2 linked regions of the Saccharomyces cerevisiae S288C genome follow. The protein of the gene in region 1 interacts with the protein of each later gene in a pairwise test. Each region holds a gene or a part of one and is shown on either strand. Other genes may lie near its edges. The genes, in order: CNA1 and SLM2.

Evidence for each region.
Region 2: the proteins of CNA1 (region 1) and SLM2 interact in a two-hybrid assay, tested with the Saccharomyces cerevisiae proteins (3 studies listed by BioGRID).

What each region holds. Positions count from the first base shown.
Region 1 is NC_001144.5:1,003,847-1,007,710, reverse strand, and holds CNA1 (calcineurin catalytic subunit A), read left to right. Parts: upstream 1-1,702; coding exon 1,703-3,364; downstream 3,365-3,864. Other genes in the region: ECM30 (Ecm30p), read left to right, coding at 1-290; TSR2 (Tsr2p), read right to left, coding at 716-1,333; IMP dehydrogenase IMD3, read right to left, coding at 3,583-3,864. UniProt on the Saccharomyces cerevisiae protein: Calcium-dependent, calmodulin-stimulated protein phosphatase. This subunit may have a role in the calmodulin activation of calcineurin.
Region 2 is NC_001146.8:539,122-543,725, forward strand, and holds SLM2 (phosphatidylinositol 4,5-bisphosphate-binding protein), read right to left. Parts: upstream 2,761-4,604; coding exon 790-2,760; downstream 1-789. Other genes in the region: alpha-1,2-mannosyltransferase ALG11, read left to right, coding at 1-698; YNL046W (uncharacterized protein), read left to right, coding at 3,183-3,701; LAP2 (bifunctional aminopeptidase/epoxide hydrolase), read left to right, coding at 3,842-4,604. UniProt on the Saccharomyces cerevisiae protein: Together with SLM1, effector of the TORC2- and calcineurin-signaling pathways. Phosphorylated and activated by TORC2 under favorable growth conditions. Mediates actin polarization via inhibition of calcineurin-dependent transcription.

The sequences.
Region 1 (3,864 bases):
CAAATGTCAGCACGTCAATCATTACAGATAATTTGAATAGTTATATGTTTGAAGAAGAAATTAGTCCCGGCGTTGTAAACAACATAATTGAAAATAACATTTGGGTTGGAACCGACATCCGACTATTTAAGATCGCAAACTTCAGAAAAGAATCTTTTTCATTTCTGGAAATGACATCTTCTTTTTTCAAGAAATTTAAATTCATTAATAGCGATAATGACAATTATAATAATAACGAATTTGATGATAATACACAGTTAAGATATACCTCTAGAGGGTTGTATAGATAGACACAAATTTTGACAATCACAAAGAAGAAAAAAGAAACTATTTACATATTTAAACATCTACCTCATGATTATTTATGTACGAAAATTTATAATTTAGTATAATTTAGTATTTTTTGCTTCTTATACTTAGCTTTAACTTAGCTGAACGATTAGACCTTAGCAAACACAAAATATAAAAATATGAAACATAAAAAATACACATGTTGAAGAAAAGTAAAAATCTTCACGTAGCGATGCATTGCCCACCTTTTAAATCTATATTGAAGATCTCCTCTAGAAGTCCAATGTTTAATACGTAACTTTCTTGATATATATTACATATTTTGGATAACTCCACCGAGATTTATCTAATTTTGTTGCTATTTCTTACTGGAAGTGCAAAAAAGCAGCGCACTATCAATTATAATATACAGATTTTGAAGATACTAGTGCTTTCTTCTTCCTTTTGGTTGAACCAATTCAAAACCGTCTTCGTCAACAATTGGTTCAGGTTTAGACGATACTAAGTCAGGTACAACCTCGTCCATCTCTTCATCTTCATCTTCGTCATCATAGTCCTCTACATCTTCATCGTCTTCATCATCATCACCCTCAATATGCACAACTCTTTTTGATTTTTTAGTTCTCTGCTTTTCTTGCCATTCCAAATACAATTTTTCTACCTTATTATAATTTAAATTGAAACAGTCGTTATATATGTTGATGACCTCCACGGCAATCGGTAAAGCCGAGTCGTCTTCAACATTAGTTTCAAATTCATCTATCATTGCATAAAGTAACGTTTCTTCGATTAAAGCGGCGTCAACAACTTTTTCATTTTTGAAAAGGTCTACTACAATCCCTGTAATCCAGTCTCTCTTCTCAGCTGAGTCTGGACCACCCCAACTGTTTTCTACGGCAACATCCAACGCATCCCACTTATAAATAACCATGGAAACACCGAGCTCAAAACGTGCCTGTTGCTTTTCGTCAGAGAACATTAGATTGGTTTTACCTTGCTCAGCCTGAACAAATGCTGTCTCATCAATATATTGTGTGCTCATTGTTCCGTAAGGATTATCACTATAAAAATTTTTCGCAGATTTCTTTGGACTCCACCTTTCTTCCTGTTGCAATAAATACAAACTGTTTGAATCATTTTGATATTCATCTATATCTATTTCAAAATTTTTCATGTCATCGCCTCTTGAAACATGAATTTTCCAATTCTGAAAAAGAACGTACTACTGGGAAACAAAAGGGAAAAATGTATAAATCCTTTAATGTTTTTGAATCAAGAGGCATTATTATAAAAGAACGAAGCAAAGCCTTTAATATTTGCTTTATTAAAGGTATTATTCAAAGAAAAGTTTTTTTAGATTCTTTTTTTTTTGACGTATTAGCTCAGCTGCCATAAAACACTCTCAACGCCAATGTCGAAAGACTTGAATTCTTCACGCATCAAAATCATTAAACCTAATGACTCTTACATAAAGGTTGACCGGAAAAAAGATTTAACAAAATACGAATTAGAAAACGGTAAAGTAATTTCTACTAAGGACCGACCTATCGCTTCTGTACCTGCCATAACAGGAAAGATACCAAGTGATGAGGAAGTATTCGACTCCAAGACGGGATTACCTAATCATTCCTTTTTAAGAGAGCATTTCTTTCATGAGGGTCGACTTTCTAAGGAACAGGCCATAAAAATCTTAAATATGTCAACTGTAGCATTGAGTAAAGAACCCAATCTACTAAAACTCAAAGCGCCAATTACTATATGTGGTGATATTCACGGGCAGTATTATGATTTATTGAAACTGTTTGAAGTTGGCGGTGACCCCGCCGAAATCGACTATTTATTCTTGGGGGATTATGTTGATAGAGGTGCATTCTCTTTTGAGTGTCTGATTTATTTGTACTCCTTGAAGTTGAATAATTTAGGGAGATTTTGGATGCTAAGAGGTAACCATGAGTGTAAGCACTTGACCTCTTATTTTACTTTTAAGAATGAGATGTTGCACAAATACGATATGGAAGTTTACGATGCTTGCTGCAGATCATTCAATGTCTTACCATTAGCAGCTTTAATGAACGGACAATATTTTTGTGTGCATGGTGGTATCTCTCCAGAGTTAAAATCAGTAGAGGATGTTAATAAAATTAATAGATTTCGAGAAATCCCATCTCGTGGTCTCATGTGTGACCTACTATGGGCCGATCCTGTCGAAAATTATGATGATGCAAGAGATGGTAGCGAATTTGATCAGAGCGAGGATGAATTCGTACCTAACAGTTTGAGGGGTTGCTCTTTCGCCTTCACTTTTAAAGCATCATGCAAGTTTTTGAAGGCAAATGGTTTGTTATCTATTATTAGAGCACACGAAGCACAGGATGCTGGGTACAGAATGTATAAAAACAATAAAGTAACAGGCTTCCCGAGCTTAATAACCATGTTCAGTGCGCCAAACTACCTGGACACATATCATAATAAAGCTGCTGTGTTAAAATATGAAGAAAACGTCATGAACATCAGGCAGTTTCACATGTCTCCGCACCCTTACTGGTTGCCTGATTTTATGGATGTTTTCACCTGGTCACTACCTTTTGTTGGCGAAAAAGTTACTAGCATGTTAGTGTCTATATTAAACATATGTAGTGAGCAGGAACTTGACCCAGAATCGGAACCCAAAGCTGCGGAGGAGACTGTAAAGGCAAGAGCAAACGCAACTAAGGAGACCGGCACCCCATCTGATGAAAAGGCGTCATCAGCGATATTAGAAGATGAAACCCGAAGAAAGGCTTTGAGAAATAAGATATTAGCTATTGCTAAAGTTTCAAGAATGTTTTCGGTGCTAAGAGAAGAGAGCGAAAAAGTGGAATATTTGAAAACTATGAATGCCGGTGTCTTACCTCGTGGTGCTCTAGCTCGTGGGACTGAAGGTTTGAATGAAACGCTAAGCACTTTTGAAAAGGCTAGAAAGGAAGACCTTATTAATGAAAAATTACCACCATCTTTATCGGAGGTTGAACAAGAGAAGATTAAATACTACGAAAAAATATTAAAGGGAGCGGAGAAAAAGCCACAACTGTGATAAATCTCATTTTATTCTTTTTTATTCCTATGAGATGCAACATCGAATTCTTGTGCTACTGTCACGATCCGCAAGAGATAATATGAACTAACAAAATACGAAGAAAATATAGATCATTTCCAGTCTATTTCTTGATTTCCATACTTAACTGCGAGCAGAATAAATATAAACACATATTTTTTAGTTTTATTTTATTATTAATGAACCCTAGTTACCAATTAGTTATGTAAACGCTTTTCGTAAGAATGTAAGTTATGAACACCACCTTCTAGTTGAGCAGAAGCGGTTCTAAATTCAAATCTAACTTTACCGCTTTGGACATTTTCCTTTAATAAAGTTAGGGACTTGTAACCAATGTCTTGACAAGAATGTTGTAAACCGTTGTACAAATATGGAATAAATTTCTTGATAGAACCTTTGTCAACGACAGCACCGGAGACACCTTGTGCGACCAAAACACTGTCTGATTCGGAAAAGTAACGGGAGGTAGATGCATTACC
Region 2 (4,604 bases), on another chromosome or scaffold:
CTGAGAAACGTCATAAGTTAATCATTGAGTCCTTTGCAACTTTCTTGAAAAATTTACCGGATTCTGTATCGCCAATTAAATTGATAATGGCGGGGTCCACTAGATCCAAGCAAGATGAAAATTATGTTAAAAGTTTACAAGACTGGTCAGAAAATGTATTAAAAATTCCTAAACATTTGATATCATTCGAAAAAAATCTGCCCTTCGATAAGATTGAAATATTACTAAACAAATCTACTTTCGGTGTTAATGCCATGTGGAATGAGCACTTTGGAATTGCAGTTGTAGAGTATATGGCTTCCGGTTTGATCCCCATAGTTCATGCCTCGGCGGGCCCATTGTTAGATATAGTTACTCCATGGGATGCCAACGGGAATATCGGAAAAGCTCCACCACAATGGGAGTTACAAAAGAAATATTTTGCAAAACTCGAAGATGATGGTGAAACTACTGGATTTTTCTTTAAAGAGCCGAGTGATCCTGATTATAACACAACCAAAGATCCTCTGAGATACCCTAATTTGTCCGACCTTTTCTTACAAATTACGAAACTGGACTATGACTGCCTAAGGGTGATGGGCGCAAGAAACCAGCAGTATTCATTGTATAAATTCTCTGATTTGAAGTTTGATAAAGATTGGGAAAACTTTGTACTGAATCCTATTTGTAAATTATTAGAAGAGGAGGAAAGGGGCTGATGTTTTTTGAAAATAGAAGCCTTGTTTATGAGAAAACTTATACATAATATTACATACAAACTAGAGCATTACTATATAATTAACTTACTTGTCACAGCTGATTGCTTTTTCTAGGGGAATCTACATTTTCAATGTAAAATTCAGGAACCCTATTCTGAATTTGTGAATCATTCGTTTCCGGTATCGATGACGTGGTGTTAGTGATTGTCAAATTGTCTAATTTTGGAATGGAATTCAAGGGAAAATTGCTACTACTCACATCATCGTATCTCGTATGTTGCTCATTAGTTACCTGGGGGGTCACGCTCTCCGTGGTGTTTTCATTACTCTTGGCTTTTTCTTTAGACAGTTTGGCAACTTTACTCACATATTTGCATTTGTCGTCATAGTTGGGCAAACTTGATAAGGCTTTGATATTTCCAAACCATTCTATCATATCGTCATAAGAGTCTACTTTGAATACCCAGTTGTGACCCCTATGTATTAGTCCGTTAGAATTCGTACGCAATATAAACTTGTTCTTGCCCTGCTCTGAGTTGGATTTCGTCTTTTTGGAATGCTCAGTGACAGTACATTCCACTAATGGTATTGACATTAACGGTGTGGAAAATTTATGCTTATCTGGTGTCTTAAATTCATGTAAAAAGCTTGGAGTGAGGACATAAAACCCACGTGAGTATGACTTTAAAAATTTTGATCTTTTCTCCAGAAACCCAGATTTAACTTCAAAAGTAAAAGGATCGTTTTGATTGCTATACGAGATCTCTTTAAACCTCCTCATGGGTAAATTTGGAGGCACAAAATTGGAAATATTCCTTAGAATGAAACTATCCCATTCAAGATTCGTGTTTTTGTTCAGTATCGTGGAATCTAATTTAGAGATAACTGAGTCAAATACAACTTGGGCTTCTTTGCCAAGAATTCTAGCGTAGCTGGTCAATCCGTTCTGTATTTCCATTACAATAACACTTTCTAACTGGGCCCCTGAATTCTGCAAGTTATCGAATGCCTCGTGCAAATAATTTTCTTCCACCAACTGTCTTTTGATTTGCTTTTCCAATTGCAATTTTATCAAAAATGGGTCACTCTTTGGTGTACCTAATTTACATTCTTTTAATGATTCATTAAAAAGCTTCATCAAGTGTTTAGTTTGCTGAAGCTCTTTGTTACAGGAATTTTTAAAATCAGATTGCAAAGCCTTAATTTCTTTAATCTTGACTAGTAAATCTCTTCTCAAATCCTCTAGCCTGGGTATAATTTCACTGGTCAACTCCTTGGAACTTTTCGATGCCAAAGAGGCCAGATTATCATGATACTTGGTCAGCATCGTGGGCAAATCTTGAACGGATCCACTTCCTAAGGGCAGAAAAAATTTCTGCATGGACTTGTCTTCATTAGAGACCGGTTGATATTGGTTTTCAATGCTGAAAAAGGGGAACTGCACAGCATGGGACAACCTCAGTTGCTGTCTAACTATTTCGTCCTGTATTGAGGCGGTCTCAGAGAGATATACCAAGATGGCACGAATAACATTTCTCCAGGCAGAAAACCTAGCAGACAAGACATCAGTGGGCTGCGCAGAAGTCGGTATCAGTATCGCCAGAGGGGACCTAGGATCGTTTTGGTTAGAATCATACTGCTTCTGGTGGCTATGTAAAGACATTTTTGGCAGCGTTAGCATGGAAGGGTCAGTGAAGGAACCAACATTATTGATATTGTTATTATTAATATTATTATTTTGTGATGATGGAATATTATTAGAGTTCAAAGAGTGCGTCGTATTGGTGCCAGCCGCAGCATCGACTATCGAATTTTGCCGATCGTGATCATATACGTTCAACTGAGCCGGGATAGTGGGATCGGAAGTCACAGCGTCGATAGGGTAAGGTATAGGATTGCGTTGCGCAAGCGACGAGGGTAGTGACAGGGGTATGTTCTGGCCTTTTTGTTGCTGCTGTTGATAGGCGGGATTAAAATGTTCTGACCTCATTCTGCCTTCCAGTTGTTGATATTGACTTCTGAGGTCAAGAGAGGCTCTTGCACTGTTCCGTTGGTAAGACATGGTGCAATGGACGGCTGGGTAAAGCGTATAACGCTCTCCTAAACCTTTGCTTGCGCGGTCATCTTCTCATGTAGTAGGTTGCATCGCCTTTTGATTAAAGAATGCGGCATGACCCGGAAAAAAGAGGCAGGTATTGGCTAATGACTACTACCATTATGAGTTTTTACCAGTATCAGCGCCATCATTAGGAGGATATATTAGCATTGGTGGACGTAAGAGCTCCTAAATATACAAGCATCGCCGTGATGTGTTATATATTGCAGCTTTATCTTGCTGGAGTGTCTACCGTATTTACTTCTACTTTTGGCATTTTTTTCGCCAATGCTGGCTCGAACAAGAAACTGCCTGCCATTTGAATTATTCATATATAAATACACTAATCATACGTGAGCATAGTGTGACAATTTCGGCGCAAGATATTAATGGAGCACGTATCAAAGAGGTCAATTGGGCAATTCTTTAAGAGGAAAACTTCAACTGTAGATGGAAGCAAATCACAGAAATGCGGAACCACTAACCAACTGCGGAAGCTGCTGCATAAAAGAAGGGTACAGAAGCAGGCAGTGCCGGTTGAATCCCAGTACAGAATTCCGGGTGATTTTAGGGATAATCAAAGCGTGAGAGTCAAAAACTCTATGTACAACAGCTCACCGTCAGTAACGCCATCTACGCATCATATCAATGAAAGGTATGTTCGCTATGACATCAACACAAGGCCTTTGGTTGTTGTGCTCGCGATCTCAATTGTATTTTTTGGCTGTCTCCTGGTCCTCAAGGACATCATCATCCAGTCATCAGAAAACATCCTGAGTGTTTCCAAATGGAAAATCATAGGGGCCTCCTTCATGGGTACGCCCTACACAGGTCTTCTCACGGGGCTCGTTGGCCCTCTCCTGTCACCATTTTCGGCTGTTTCGTCGTGGCTTTCATTCATCTTTTGACACAATGCGTCTTCAGTTTCCGGGGGCATTGCGTATGGAAAATCATGTCACTTTTTTTCTTCCACTTTTTCGTTTGACTTATATAAACGCACTTTAGTATAGTTTGCTTTATGTATTAGGTTATCTTGGTGTTCTAATTGATGTTCTTGCTTCCATTTGTCATTCGTCATTCCAGCTCTATTTACCTGCCCACGCTTCGATTTCGAGGTTTACTTACTGTAATCTCAAGAAACATACACATTTCCACCCCTCATAAAATGTTGCCTCTTTCAATTGAGCAGAGAAGACCTTCCCGCTCCCCCGAATACGATCAGTCTACTTTATCAAATTATAAGGACTTCGCAGTTCTTCACACCGATTTAAACCTGTCTGTTTCCTTCGAAAAGTCAGCCATTTCAGGGAGCGTTACATTCCAATTGAAAAAACTGCACGAAGGTAAAAATAAATCGGATGAATTACATCTGGATACATCCTATTTGGATGTCCAGGAGGTTCATATTGATGGTTCCAAGGCAGATTTTCAAATTGAGCAAAGAAAGGAGCCATTGGGCTCCAGGTTAGTCATCAATAACGCTTCTTGCAACGATAACTTTACCTTGAATATTCAATTTCGTACGACTGACAAGTGCACCGCTTTGCAATGGTTGAACAGCAAGCAAACCAAGGGCGGTAAACCGTACGTGTTTTCACAGTTGGAAGCTATTCATGCGAGGTCTTTGTTCCCCTGCTTTGATACTCCCTCTGTGAAGTCTACTTTCACTGCATCTATCGAGTCCCCACTACCAGTGGTTTTTTCAGGCATCAGGATTGAAGATACAAGCAAGGATACTAATATTTACAGATTTGAACAGAAAGTCCCTATCCCAGCCTACCTGATCGGTATTGCTTCCGGTGATTTGTCAA